Linked DNA regions of Cricetulus griseus. The protein of the gene in region 3 interacts with the protein of the main gene of each other region in a biochemical or structural test. Links are inferred from orthologs where the notes say so. Each region holds a gene or a part of one and is shown on either strand. Other genes may lie near its edges. The genes, in order: Smarca4, Trib1 and CCAAT/enhancer-binding protein alpha.

Evidence for each region.
Region 1: the proteins of CCAAT/enhancer-binding protein alpha (region 3) and Smarca4 form a complex in vitro, tested with the Homo sapiens proteins (2 studies listed by BioGRID, with this or other methods). The link is inferred for Cricetulus griseus from reciprocal best matches to the Homo sapiens genes CEBPA and SMARCA4.
Region 2: the proteins of CCAAT/enhancer-binding protein alpha (region 3) and Trib1 form a complex in vitro, tested with the Homo sapiens proteins (2 studies listed by BioGRID and IntAct, with this or other methods). The link is inferred for Cricetulus griseus from reciprocal best matches to the Homo sapiens genes CEBPA and TRIB1.

What each region holds. Positions count from the first base shown.
Region 1 is NC_048597.1:134,522,400-134,526,985, reverse strand, and holds part of Smarca4 (transcription activator BRG1), read right to left. Parts: intron 4,319-4,586; coding exon 4,192-4,318; intron 3,715-4,191; coding exon 3,541-3,714; intron 1,818-3,540; coding exon 1,644-1,817; intron 284-1,643; coding exon 116-283; intron 10-115; coding exon 1-9. UniProt on the Homo sapiens protein: ATPase involved in transcriptional activation and repression of select genes by chromatin remodeling (alteration of DNA-nucleosome topology).
Region 2 is NC_048603.1:27,988,381-27,993,066, reverse strand, and holds the start of Trib1 (tribbles homolog 1), read left to right. Parts: upstream 1-1,906; 5' UTR 1,907-1,937; coding exon 1,938-2,306; intron 2,307-4,129; coding exon 4,130-4,422; intron 4,423-4,686. UniProt on the Homo sapiens protein: Adapter protein involved in protein degradation by interacting with COP1 ubiquitin ligase. The COP1-binding motif is masked by autoinhibitory interactions with the protein kinase domain.
Region 3 is NC_048602.1:3,363,913-3,368,598, forward strand, and holds the start of CCAAT/enhancer-binding protein alpha, read right to left. Parts: upstream 2,636-4,686; 5' UTR 2,512-2,635; coding exon 1,396-2,511; 3' UTR 1-1,395. UniProt on the Homo sapiens protein: Transcription factor that coordinates proliferation arrest and the differentiation of myeloid progenitors, adipocytes, hepatocytes, and cells of the lung and the placenta.

The DNA.
Region 1 (4,586 bases), on a different chromosome or scaffold from region 3:
TTCTGCCTTCTGCAAATAAAGAGACAAGGTCAGTGTGACCCTACAGGCCCAGGCCACTAAGCATAAAGACAGGGCAACTATAAGGGGTGCCTGTTCCTAGTCAGGCCCAGCAAACCTTCTTTTTCTTTTTCTTCTTCTTCTCCTTGGCAACCTGAGCAGCTTTGTGCTGCCGTACCAACTCTGTGAGGTTGGCCACATACTCGTCCGTCTGCTGCAGGAGGTAGGCCAAACGTTTGTCCTTCTTCTGGTCAATGAGCTTTCGGTAGCCCTCCTCATCTTCAGCCTGTAAAACCAAGGCAGGGCGGAACACAGGCCCGCAGGGTGGACACTTGAGGACTGCAGAAGCTCATGCATGACTGCTACTACACCCCAAGCCCCATGCTGGACCCTGAGGTAACTGCCAGGCAACATAGTCCTGTCATGACCCATTCATAGAGGGCATGAGTGAGTTTTAGACTCTTTCTCCAAAATCCACATCACAAATCCCAATCTTCTTATCTGATATCGGCCCTGTCAGTATGAATCTCAACCCACCCTCACTCTAAGTAATCTAGGACCGTCTCTACAAATCTGTCTTGACCTTTATACATCCTTTTTTTTTTTTTTTTTTTTGGTTTTTTGAGACAAAGGTTTCTCTGTGTAGCTTTGGACTCTATCCTGGCACTCGCTCTGAAGACCAGGATGGCCTCGAACTCAGAGATTCGCCTGCCTCTGCCACCCGAGTGCTGGGATTAAAGGCGTATGCCACCAACCCCCAACCTTTATACATCCTTTTATGAATGAATGAATATGCTTGTAATCCCAGCACTTGGGAGACAGCAGCAGGGGGCTCTGAGTTCAAGCCCAGCTTATATAAAGGAGGCTAGCAAGGGTTATAATGAAACCCTATTTCAAATAAAAGAAAAACTACTATAGCGCAGAAAACTTTCCCTGGGTACTCCTTCTATAATCTATTTCCTTCCCGATGGCCTGTAAGCCCCACGTGATGCAACTTTGCAAGCTCTTGGCCTGGTGTCCTGTCCCAGCACTACGAGGTTCTAGGGCCCCAATGGTAACTGGCTGTACCTTGGGTTTGGTGTCCTGCTTCCTTCCCTTCTCCTCTCCTCCTTGGACTCTTTTGCCTCCACACCACTCTGCACTGTGCACTGGATGCAGCCCTCAACCTCAGCTCCAAGTCTGTCTCATAGCTGTCCAGCCCAGCCCTGCCTCAATTGTCTCCACCCAAGACTAGTATGTCTGTTTGGTTCTTTCCAGGGCAAACATGAGCCCCATGAAGACAGGGACCATTCTGCACCCTTCTGTGTCCCCAGAGCAGGTAACAGTATCTGTGCAGCTAGCAGCTACACCATGATGAAACATCAGAAGGACTCATTTGGGTATAGTTTTCATGGTACCTTCCATGGCTCTCATGAGGCTCAGAGCAGGAGGCAGCCAGAGAATTCAAGAACTAGCCTGCCCTAAGAGTCAGAAGGAATAAAGTCAAAGGCCCAGACCTCTGCCTCCCATATCCATGTATGTGACTCTTTCCTTCAGCTCTACTTCTAAGCCAAGTCACAGAGCATCTAATGATCCTGGATGAATAACCCAGAATTTGCTGTACCCCATGGCCCGCCAGTGACCAAAACCAAGAAACTGATAGATACCATAAGCCTCCGCATTCGCTCCTTCTCAATGCGCTCATTTTCTTTCTTCTGCTCCCGCTCAGTATTTGCATGGTAGGTAGCCACAGCCTTGGTGAGTTTCTGGAGTTTGCCTGTGACTGATCTGTGATACTCCCTGAAGTCCTTGGCATGCTGCAGGATGCTGTTGAGGTACTCCTGCAGAAGAGACATCGTGGAGGAGTGGCTAGGTCTCAGCTCAGTAAGGTACAACTGTACCCACAGCTTTTTAAAGACAAAGGAGTGTCTAGAACTGGCTCAGCAGCAGAGCACTTCTTTAGCATACCTGAAGCTCAGGATTCCATTGCTAGCTCCTCAAAGAAAATGGAAAGGGGTACTGTCCAGATAATAAGGCTACCATATTCAGTTCTGCCTATGACAAAATTATCTGCTGGCCCCTGTGCAATGACAGGACCCCTTGGACACAACAGGTGGGTGTATCAAGTGAACACCCCCCCCTTGTGAGGTCTCATTATATAGCCCTGGCTGCCCTGGAACTCACTATGTGGACCAGACTAGCCTCAAACTCAGAGAACAACCTGCCTCTGCCTCCTGGGTGCTGGGATCAAGGGCCACTACACCTGGTCCAAGGGAGCCAGCCTCTTGCCGGGGGAAACTTGACACTGTAAATCAACTTCCAAACAAGCTCCCATCACATCCTGCTTTCTGAGCTGTCCTAGAACTCACTTTGTAGACCAGGCTGGCCTCAAACTCTCAGAGATCCACCTGCCTCTGCCTTCCAAGTGCTGGGATTAAAGGCGGGTGCCACCACCACCCAGCTCTGAGCACCGACTTTAAATTTTCTTATGGCCGTGTGGTGTGTCCTGGGCAAGCACTCTATCAATGAGCTACACCTTGGGCTCAGGTTGCCCTTAATCCTGTGATACTTCTGCCTTTGTCTCTGAGTATAAAGATTACAAACCCACACCATGGTCATCCTGGAATAAAAGTCATTACTTTGAAAATGTAGAAACTATGAATGAACAACCAGCCCCAGCAAGGTGGTCCATACCTATAATCCTAGCCCACAGAAAGGTGAGGCAGGAAGACTGTTGAGTCTGAGGCCAGTCTGGGTTACACAAGAGTACTACAACATTCAGGGTTAGACAGCAAAACTCTGTTTCAAAAACAAACAAACAAACAAGGCTGGAAGATGACTCAGTGGTTAAGAGCACTTGTTGCTCTTGCAGAGGACCTGGGTTCAATTCCCAGCATCCACATGGTAGCTAACAATCACCTGTAACTCCAATCCCAGGGAATATAATGCTCTCATTTCCTGACCTCCTTGGGTACGTGCATGTGATGTGTATATAGGCAGTTTAAACAAATATGCATAAAAGAAATCTAAATCTATTTTTAAATCATACACAACAAAACAAATGAGCAGACTGGAATCATCTGAAAGCCTACTTGACTGTAGATTTTCATTTTCTTGATGGACTTTGTAATAATTCAGCTGCTTGTAGTTTCCCCTTGCTGAAAGCAAAAGCCCAAAGACTCTATACCCTGCAGGATCCTCACTCACCCTCCCCAGTGCACCCTATGGCTCACTCAGCTACCCCAATCTTTGATTCAAGATGAAATATGGAAGCATGTTCCAGTCCCAGGGCTACTGCCCCTCCTCAGTCTGGCACCCTTGTCAAATCTCTCCGTCTCTCATCATGGAAACTTCACTGACCCCCTTTTTACCTGAGGTGGCTGCTTCTTCTTTGTCCTTACTATATTTTCCCATCCCTTACTTGCCCAATGTGACCACTGCTCATCCCCTCTCACTGTTTAGCCTGTGTACTGACACACTGTGCCCATGCCCAGGGACTCTTATGCTGAGCCACAGGAAGATGACCAGCAGAGTGTACCCTGCAAGGTGCTGTGGCGGACCCACCTGGTGCTTCTGGCGGCGCTTGCGTTCCTGCTCAATCTTCTGCTGCTTCTCTAGCTTTTCAGTGATGCGGGCCTCCCGCAGTGACTGCCGCTTGCTGCGCTTGTAGGCCTTGGCATTGAGGGCTGTCTCTAGGGCTGTGTCTCTGCGCATGCATACCACCACCTCCTGACGCAGCTTTAGGATACAAAAGAAGACACTGCCATCAGGTATGATGGGTTTGTGATGTCTGTGGTGATACTCAAGGGATGACCACATGCTGGGCAGATGATATTGCAACAAACTGCCTGGAATGCACAGGGCACCTGAGAAGCACCACAGGTGAGACAAGCAAAGAGCAGAACATGAGAGATCTAAACTTTTCCACAGCCACACACACAGCTCCTGGGGGGGATGTGTAAAAGCACAGAAACCTCAGGAAGAGACTCAACAAGCCTCCTGCCTTTCAGGAGCCCACACTTGTGTATGCACAGGATATGCATGGCCAGGTCTTACTGAAGTGTGGGCCATGATAGTGAACCAACTCTCCTGGGACCCTGATAGCCCCAACCACACAGGTATCCCAGATAACATCCCTCAAAGCATTCTGAGAACCCAGCATTTTCACTGGCAGAAAAGGCCTCATGAGCCCAGAGTTGAGGCCACCAGACCCACCTGCCTCTGGAAGTTCAGCAACCTAAGGGCCTTGAGTTCAATGGTTGCTTTGGTTCGCAGGTCCCCAGCCAGAGACCCAGGAAGATTTTCAAGTTCCTGAATTCGATGTGCAATTCGAGCCTGCAGCCTGGGCAGAGACAGAAAAAGGACAAGCGGTGAGGACTATCCATCTGCAAGTAATCACCTGGTCTCTGTCTTTAAAGCTAGAGTCTGTAAAGAATCTGTCCTTTGGGCTGGAGAGATGGCTCAGGGATTAAGAGCACTGCCCGTTCTTCCAGAGGTCCTGAGTTCAATTCCCAGCAACCACATGGTGGCTCACAGCCATCCATGAAGTCTGGTGCCCTCTTCTGGCCTGCAGGGACACATGCAGACAGAACATTGTATACATAATAAAT
Region 2 (4,686 bases), on a different chromosome or scaffold from region 3:
AAGGGCACCCAACTCAGGCTGCACGAACGCGCACACGCGACCTTGTCCGGGTGCAGGTAGTGTAGTGTCTACCCCTGGCGGTGGATCCAATGACCGGTACTCCAATACCCTGGACCGCTCTGGCGCCCTAGACCCTACCTAGGGCGTGGACGGAGGCGGGAGGAGACAGGAATCTGGCGGCTGCCACGTGGGCCCCTTCCGCCAGTTCCCCACATCCTTTGTTTCCCACCGGCCGGAGCTCAGGAAGCTCTTTCTGCGAGTCACCGCGAAGGGGCGGCCCAGGAGCCTGGAGAAGAAGCTATTTCCGTGCAAATCGGGGCGGGCGAGCGGGCGAGCGGGAGGGGCGTGGAGGTGGAGGCAGAGCAGAAGGCCCAGTGTTTGCTTTTATTTCATCCAACAGAAGGTTCTATTTGTGGAAGCGAACAGACGCTGGGGATTAGAGCCGGGAGGAGGCAGGAAAAGGAAGGGGGAGAGAGAGAGAAAAAAAAAAAAGCCACACTCACTACCACGCACAGGTCTTTCCCCGGAACTACCGCGTGGGGGGGTGGGGTGGGGTGGTGGTGAATGACTGCAAATGGAATGCATCACCTTCCCTCTCGCCCCTTCCTCCGGGCTGCAGCCGCGACTCGGCGGCGCCCGCAGCTCCACCGGGAGCTCCCGGAGTGCAAGAGCCACGGGGGACGTCCCCACCGGGGCTGCAGCCAGCGGCTCCCGCCGAGCCCGGACGGAGGGGAGCCGCGCGCCGGCCGGGAGCTCGCACTCCATTGTGTTGTGTGAATGGTGCGCGCGCGCCAATCAGCGGCCGCCTCGCCCCCGCCCAGCCCCGCCCACTTCCCCGGGACCCTGACGTCACGGGAGCTTCTCCTCCGCCCCCCTCCTTCGGCTCCGGGCCGCCGAGCCCGCGGGGCCAGCGCTCGGGTGCGCGCAGCCTGCCGCCCAGCCTAGCCCCGGGGGGCGCGTGCAAGCGTGCAAGCGTGCAAGCGTGCATGCCTGCGCGCGCGCCCAAGACGGCCCCGGACGGACGGACGGACGTTCCCACCTGCGCCCAGGCGCGCGCAGTCGGGAGCATCCCCGGGCCTCCGGCCACCCCCGCTGTCCCCCGCTTCCCACTCCATCACCCCTCCTTCCCCCCCTCCCCTCCCCAGTCTCCTCCCTCCGCTCCGGTGACTGTGAGCCGGGGCGACGGGGCTGGAGTCGTCGCAGCCACCTCATTGCACAACCCGGCTTCCCAACTGTTTACACAGCCCGGCCTGTGAGTGTGTGTGTGAGTGTGTGTGTGAGTGTGAGTGTGTGTGTGTGTATACAGCGTGAGTCACCGGGAGGCGGAGGAGGTGGAGGAAAAGGAGAAGGAGCGCACAGGCCGGCATCAGTGCGGCGCACACACTCACATCCAGCCACTCTCTCTCTGAGCGCGGCTCGCACGCTCCACCGCCCGCCCGCCCGCTCGCACTCCCGGAGCGCGCAGGATCCCGAGCGGCGCGGCAAAGTTGTGCCGGCTTCTACTCCCCACTTAATTGCTTTTGGAAGTGAGTGCCTTGGCTCCGGGAAGCCACCGAGCCTGCGGAATCCGATCCTCCAGACTCCAGCGCCCCGGAACCCGGGGAAGCCGGGGAAGCCGGGCCGCCTCCCCGTCCCGGGACTCAGCCCCCAGCGTCGGCAACAATAGCGGCCCCGATCGCCGCCGCCGCCGCCCGCGAGGCGCCCAGACCTGGTGGCCGCGGGAGTCTGGGGACCCCGGGTGGCCTCCCTCCCCAGCCCGGACGCGTGGCCAGCGTGGTCCTCGTGTGGAAGACGCCGGCGTCCGGGAACGGCTGTCGTCGCGCACCTCTCGGGGACCGATCGGAGCTCCGTCTGCCAACGGCATCCCGAGGGCTGGAAGGAATCGCAGCGCCGAGCCCGGGATTTCCAAAGCCGGGGCCGCTCCGGCCAGGGCCGCGATGCGGGTCGGTCCCGTGCGCTTTGCACTCGGCGGCGCCTCGCAGCCCCGCTCGGCTCCGGCTCTGCTCTTCCCGGCCGCCCGGGCTACCCCGGCCAAACGGCTGCTGGACGCGGACGACGCGGCGGCCGTGGCGGCCAAGTGTCCGCGCCTCTCCGAGTGCTCGAGCCCCCCCGACTACCTCAGTCCCCCGGGCTCGCCCTGCAGCCCGCAGCCTCCGCCCTCCGCTCAGGGGACCGGCGGCGGCGGCAGCTGTGCGAGCGCACCCGGGCCCAGCCGCATCGCCGACTACCTGCTGCTGCCCCTAGCCGAGCGCGAGCATGTGTCCCGGGCGCTGTGCATCCACACCGGCCGCGAGCTGCGCTGCAAGGTAAGCATCCCGGGGGCCAGGGCTGCGGGCCTGGCACGAGGGCTTGGCTACCCCGGATCGCGCCCCGGCCGGAGCTTTGGGGTTGGCAGAGCCGCTAAGGAAGGGCTTTGAAAAGTCGGATCAAGAGGGCGTTTTGGTCAGCTTCGCCCCTGAGGGCTTTCCTGTGGAGTGTTCTGCTGAGGGACCCGCGGTCTAGGGCAAGTGGAGGGGTTCATCTCGGTGCTTTTTTTCTTTGGCGCTCAAGTGTGGCTAGCGCGTGGCGTCCCATTTAAGTTTGGAATTGCAATGGATTCCAGGGCCATGCCATTGCCCTGCTCTCATCCCCCCCTCCTCCCCCTGCCCTGGACGGACGCCCTGCAGTGGGTGCCTCCTCCCGGCTTGGAGCAGCTGGCAGGCTCTCAGCCGGACGTTCGCGGCACAGGCTCTGCAGACACGGTGTCCGGCTTCTACCCAGGGGGTTCTGGCTGGAACCAGAATACAGCCCACCCCAGGGAGTCGCGGGCCTGCGGGGGTTTAAGCCTGGGAGGGGCTCCAGGCCTGATTGAGAAGAGTGTTGAGGAGCTCCCAGGGGCTCTCGCTTCCACTCGCTGTAGTTTGCGTCCGCCAGTTTTTATTGCAACCTTAGGGGGAGTACAACTCCATAGGGGATGGCCCGGCTCTCCTGGAGAGCGCGGAGCCGTGGACGGTCTGTGCTTGGTGAGCGCGACGCTCACACCCTGGTCCACCGAGAGCCCCCACCGACTGCTTTCATTCCCCTGGAGTTAAGAGTGGCTCCTGGGTTTTCAGCAGCTCACCTGAACTCCCCTCTCCCCGCTTGCTGGTGCCACCTACTGTCTACTCGCGTGAAATCTCAGATGCGTGGTCAAGCCCAGAGGGGGGGAAAAAACCTTTTTTTCTTGGTGGATGAGAGCAGTTTTGGAAGAGAAACTTGTGTGGAGGGGTGGGTGGGGCGGGAGGAGAGAGCAGCAGAGGGATTCCCCCCCCCAGTTGGTACCAGAGCAGCCACCTCAGAGGTGGGGTGGGTCTGGGTCATTGTGCAACCCCTTCCAGTTCCTCCGAGCAGATAATAGCTGAATCCAGATGGTGACAGCCCGTGTGTCACCATTTCCAGTTGCGTCTAGGATATGAGTAACCGGAGTGAACAAAAGGCCCTTAAAGAGACCAGCCAGCAGCTTCTTAGAGGATTTGCCCTCCGTTCTGGGGGTGGGGCAACTAAGGTGGGGGGAGGCGTGTAAACAGATGAAAACGGCTTTTCTGAGGTGCCCATCCCCTCCTGTCGGAAGGTACACCCCAGGCTGCCTCCACCTGAGTCACAGCCATAGGAAGGTTGCTTAAGGCAGCCTTGTCAGTCTCTCCCTCCAAGTCATCAGTCCCTCTGACTAATGACATCTCTACATGTTTGCTGCCTCTGCTTCCCCTTGGAGGCAGCGAAATCGCCACATTCCTTGGCTGTGCTGAGCTGAGCCTTCTGTGTTTCATTGTTGCTTTTCACCCTTGCAGGGATGCTGGGGTCCCTTCCCTTAGCTACCTTGTAGCAAGCCTTATCTATTAGGAAGATCCAATCCACGTCAGGCTCGGCTCCCAGGAGCTGATACCAGGCCCCTAAAAGACAAAAGTATGTGTGGACCAGGGTAGGCTTTGGAAGTTGCTAGCCGGGATCCCAAGGTGTGACTTGCTTTAAGGGCATCATAGCAGCTGGAGCTGCATAAACGGCAGAGAGAATGGACTATCCAAAGGTTGAGGACCTCAGCCCAGCTTCATGTAGGACCTGGCGGGCAGCCCCTGAACTTCTGGCCCCTAAACAGGTCACTTTATCTCCGCAGGTGTTTCCCATTAAACACTACCAGGACAAAATCAGGCCTTACATCCAGCTGCCGTCGCACAGAAACATTACCGGCATCGTGGAAGTAATCCTTGGGGAGACCAAGGCCTACGTCTTCTTCGAGAAGGACTTTGGGGACATGCACTCCTATGTGCGAAGCCGGAAAAGGCTTCGGGAAGAGGAGGCCGCTCGGCTCTTCAAGCAGATAGTCTCCGCCGTTGCCCACTGCCACCAGTCGGCCATCGTGCTGGGGGACCTGAAGCTTAGGAAGTTTGTCTTCTCCACGGAGGAGAGGTGAGCAGCTGCCACAGCACCTCCTGTGGCCCTTTGGAACCAAAAAAACTGAAGGTACAGGTCATGCAGTTAGGTGCAAGCCAAACCCAAGGCTCAGGTCTTGCCTGGTTTAGTATTAAGTCATGCTTCTGGAAGTTTGTGGTCAACCTTGGTTCATTCTTTGCCCTGTTGGATGGCGAAGCCTAGAGACACCTTGGCGCTTTTGAGGATGCTGCCTAATGACAGATACACTTCTATTTCTGTCCCAGGCTCAGGCTTTCTTGT
Region 3 (4,686 bases):
TCCCCCCAAAGAAGAGAAGGTAGCAGTCCACCCCTGCTCCCAGCCACAGGGGTGTGCACGAATTGGCTGGAGGTGACCTTCTTTCCAGACCCAGAGCCAGGGCCTGAGGGTGGGGGCGGGGGAGGATGCCTGTGTATACAGTAGTCTCAGCTGGAAGAAGCTAAGACCCACAACGACACCCTGGGAAAACTGGAGGGAGGGTGGTGGTCCTCCGGGAGCAAAAGAAAAAAAAAAAATCCCCAAACCAAAAAGGAAAGAGGGCCCGAGCTTCTTCCCCCAGCCGCTAGCGAAGAGTCTCATTTTGGCAAGAATCTGAGCAAAACCAAAACAAAACAAAAGGACCAAATAAAATGGTGGTTTAGCATAGACGTGGACATTGACATTGCACAAGGCACCGCTGGGACACAGAGACCAGATACAAGTGTTGATATCGGATGATAAAGCAAAATATTTGGGAAGCTTGTCATAACTCCAGTCCCTCTGGGATGGATCGATTGTGCTTCAAGTTCCTTCAGCAACAGCGGCTGGCGACATACAGTACACACAAGGCTGATGGTCCCGGTGTCCTTTCATCCCCTCTCCCCCCAAGACCAGAAACTTAGGTTCCCGTCTCCCACTACTCCCTTAATCACATGGCTAACTTACAGCCTAGCTTTCTGGTCTAGCTGGGGGTGGCGCCCCCCATTCTCCACGAACTCACCCAGGAAACTTAGCCTGTTGCAAGCTGAGGTGCGGAGTAAAGGTGGAGGTGGGAAAAGTAAGAACCGTGCACCTCCAAATGGATGAGGGGGAGGGGTGCGGGAGGGGTACTCTTACAGACTCAAATCCCCAACTCCCTAAGTCCCTCCCCTCTAAGGACAGGGACGGAGGGGCAGCAGCGGAGCGCTGCCTGCCGGGATCTCAGCTTCCTGAATCTTCTTTCTCCTGCCCTGGGCCTGCACCCTTCATGCTCTCATGGGGGGGGGCCTGCCGCAGCCTCGGAGAAGGCAGGGATCCTCCAAATAAAATATCAAGGCACATGTGTGCTCCCCCTACTCGGTAGGAAAAGGAGCGAGTTCTGAGTATCCAAGGCACAGGGTGACTTCCTTACTTAATACTAGAACGGCCGGGCGGGCTCCCGGCTCAGCTCCGCGGACAAGTCTCCCGGGCTCCAGGAGAAAAACTGCGGCCTGACTCCCTCATCTTAGACGCACCGAGTCCCGGCTCAGAGGAAGGGAGGGGACACGCGGAGTAGGCCAAGCTCTCAGACGACAACACCGCCATCTCCTAGTCCTGGCTTTCACGGGCCCGGGGCAGCCTGGAGATGCAGCGACCCGAACTCATTCTCCGGGTCCCCGGCCAGGGGTGGGGTGGGGTGGCCGGCCCAAAGGCGGTGGGGTCCCGCAGCCGCGCGCCTCACGCGCAGTTGCCCATGGCCTTGACCAGGGAGCTCTCGGGCAGCTGGCGGAAGATGCCCCGCAGCGTGTCCAGTTCCCGGCTCAGCTGCTCCACCCGCTTGCGCAGGCGGTCATTGTCACTGGTCAGCTCCAGCACCTTCTGCTGCGTCTCCACGTTGCGCTGCTTGGCTTTGTCGCGGCTCTTGCGCACCGCGATGTTGTTGCGTTCCCGCCGCACCCGGTACTCGTTGCTGTTCTTGTCCACCGACTTCTTGGCCTTGCCCGCGCCTGCGCCGCCGGCGCCCCCGGCGCCCCCGGGGCGGAGGTCGGGGTGCGCGCCAGCCAAACCCTTGAGCGCACCCCCGGGGGCGGGCAGGCCCGCAGCCCCCAAAGCGGGCGCGGGGTGCGGGCTGGGCACGGGCGTGGGCGGCGGCGTGGGGTGGCCGGGCTGCAGGTGCATGGTGGTCTGGCCGCAGTGCGCGATCTGGAACTGCAGGTGCGGGGCGGCCAGGTGCGCGGGAGACGCGTGCGGGTGCACCGGCGGCGGCGGCGGCGGCGGCTGGTAGGGGAAGAGGCCGGCCAGCGCCAGCTGCTTGGCCTCGTCCTCCTCGCGGGGCTCCTGCTTGATCACCAGCGGCCGCAGCGCCGGCGCCCCGACGCGCTCGTACAGGGGCTCCAGCCTGCCGTCCAGGTAGCCGGCCGCCGTGCAGCCGTAGCCCGGAGGGGGCCCGTGCGCCCCCGCGGACATGACCGCGCCGCCGGGGCCCGTCGGGGCGCCCGGGTAGTCAAAGTCACCGCCGCCGCCGCCGCCGCCACCCGCGGGGCCCGCGGCCGCCTTGGCCTTCTCCTGCTGCCGGCTGTGCTGGAAGAGATCGGCCAGGAACTCGTCGTTGAAGGCGGCCGGGTCGATGTAAGCGCTGATGTCTATGGACGTCTCGTGCTCGCAGATGCCGCCCAGCGGCTCCGGGGCAGCAGGTAGGGCTGGGGGAGGCGCGGGGCCCGCGCCCCGGGGGAAGCCGAAGGCGGCGCTGCTACTGCTGCTGCTGCTGCTGCTGGTGGGCGCGTGCGGGGGACTCTGGAGGTGGCTGCTCATCGGGGGCCGCGGCTCCGCCTCGTAGAAGTCGGCCGGCTCCATGGAGGAGTTAGAGTTCTCCCGGCATGGCGAGCCTCACGGCGGCCTCCAGCCTGCGCGTGGCGCCGCTGCCTCCGCCGCCGCTCGCCCGCTCACCGCCGCCCGCTCGCCGCCCGCCCCGCCGGAGCCCCCGACTCGCTCGCGCGCCCCGCGCAGCTCCGGGTCGCGAATGGTCAGGCCCGCGCGCGATCCGCTCTTATAGGGGGATCGGACGTCGCCCCCTGGTGTCCAAGAGGGTCCCGGGCCCAGGGCGAGGGCAGCAGGGCGCCTGCTGGGTCTTAGAGCCCGCTGTCTGTCTCTCGCTCGCCCTCTGTGTTTCTCCCAGGCGGCGAGCGGGGCGGGAGCACCGTGCAGGGGGAGAGGCGGTGGCGCAACGCCCACTGCCTCCTGCGCTGCGAGGCAGCCCGGCCTGCGCTCGGCCCCACCCTGGCGGCGCTGTCGCCCCCGCACACACGTGGTCCGCGGCTGGGCGCCCCTCCTGCAAGCCTGCCCAAGTCACCCGCTTCCAGCCAACACCGGGGAGCCCGGGAGCATCCAGAGGCCGAGCAGGGAGGGGTAGGGGTAGGGGGTGGAGAGGGAATATTCGTCTTGAGCTACCGGGGTGCAGACTGGTCTTAAAGGCTAGGACTAGGCCTGTCCCCCCCCCCCCCCCAGCCAGGGACCTAGCTGCTTTGTGACTTGCTTTGGAGCGGCGACCTGGCGCGCGCCGCAGAGTGGCAGGGGCCGGAGCGCTGAGATTGTGTGTGTCTCTCTCTCTCCACTCCAGGCGACCCCGCTGATTATTCCAGGCGGGGCGCCTCTTCCCCGCCCAGCCAGCCTCCCTACCCCGGGGTCCCGCGGGATCCGCCGAGCAGGGCGCTAGGACCCAGCAGGGAGCGAAGGCGGCCGCTAACCCGGGAGTCCCGAGGACCTGGCCGGTCCATCCGCTCCGGCTGGAAAACTTTCTTTTTAATTACGTCTCCCGGCCAGAGCGCCGGGGTTGCTAGGCTTCCAAGGCGGGCGCTGCTGCCTGGTGTGGAGCCTCTAGCCGAGCGCTTGGGACCTCGGGACCGGCGGGTGGGTCCTCCGAGACTCGGGGAACAGGACACCAGGGCAAGCGCGCGGGGGCGGGGAGAGGGCAGGGTGTGGGAGAGAGAGGGAGGGAGAGAGAAAGACAGAGACAGAGAGGAGGTGAGCGGGATCCCCAAGCGGGATCCTTAGTCAGGAGCCTAAAGCCACAGGTTTCTTTCCCTCCTGTCATTCGGGTGGGCGCCAATCTCCGTCGCCTGAGTGTCCAGTCCCTGGCTACGGAGTCTGAGCACCCCCTGGGAGTACCCTGTCGGGTCCCGGGGATCCTCGGGGCCGCGCCGCCTGCAGGCTCGCAGCTTGGGTAGGAGTTTGCCTGCATAGTCTCCCCAGCCACGTGGCGTTGGCGACGGGCTCATTCTCCACCTGGATCGCGGCCGTGGAGGTCGGGGGCAGATGGGGCCTGGTGAGCACCCAAATCTCTGCTTTCTGCACCCCGAGGAGCCTTTTGCGGCTTCCTGAGCTGGGGCCTGACGTCTTCTCGAGCCCCGTTTGTCTGCATGCCAGGCTGGGGGGGTCCCTCTTCCTGAAACCCCAGGGTGCCCAGGTCAAGACCCCCAGTGCAATGACCCTCTTAGCCCAGGAAAGGCGCTGCGATCCTCCCAGGAGGCTCAAGGAGGCGCGGCTAAAAAACTCAGTTGGGGAGGCCCGCTGTGCTTTCCACTGTGGTTAGTTACAGTAGAGAACCGACTTCGTCTGGAGGACGCACCCGTCCTTTAATCAAATTCCCATTCAACATATTCTCGGTGATTAATGACCCAACTGCTTCATTTTCGGGCCAGAGCGCATAAACAAGATATTTTTAGCTTGATGCTTTTGAACCGAGAGCGTAAAAAAAGCAGATACACTAAATAAATAACCCTGGTGTGAGCGGAGGGGCCAGATGCGCCACCCATTTATACACCAGGCACCTGTGGAGTGTCCCCTGGAGAGAAACCCTTCAAAGCCAAGTGGGATCTCCAGCTTTCTACTAAGCTAAAAATAGTGTTTGTTTGTCGTCCCCCCACCACCCCGCCAGGGGAAAGGGAACGCAGTGAGAAAGTTCCTAGCTAAGAGAGAGACAGATACAGGAGGCTGACACCAGACACATCCGCGGTGTCCTCACTTGTGCAA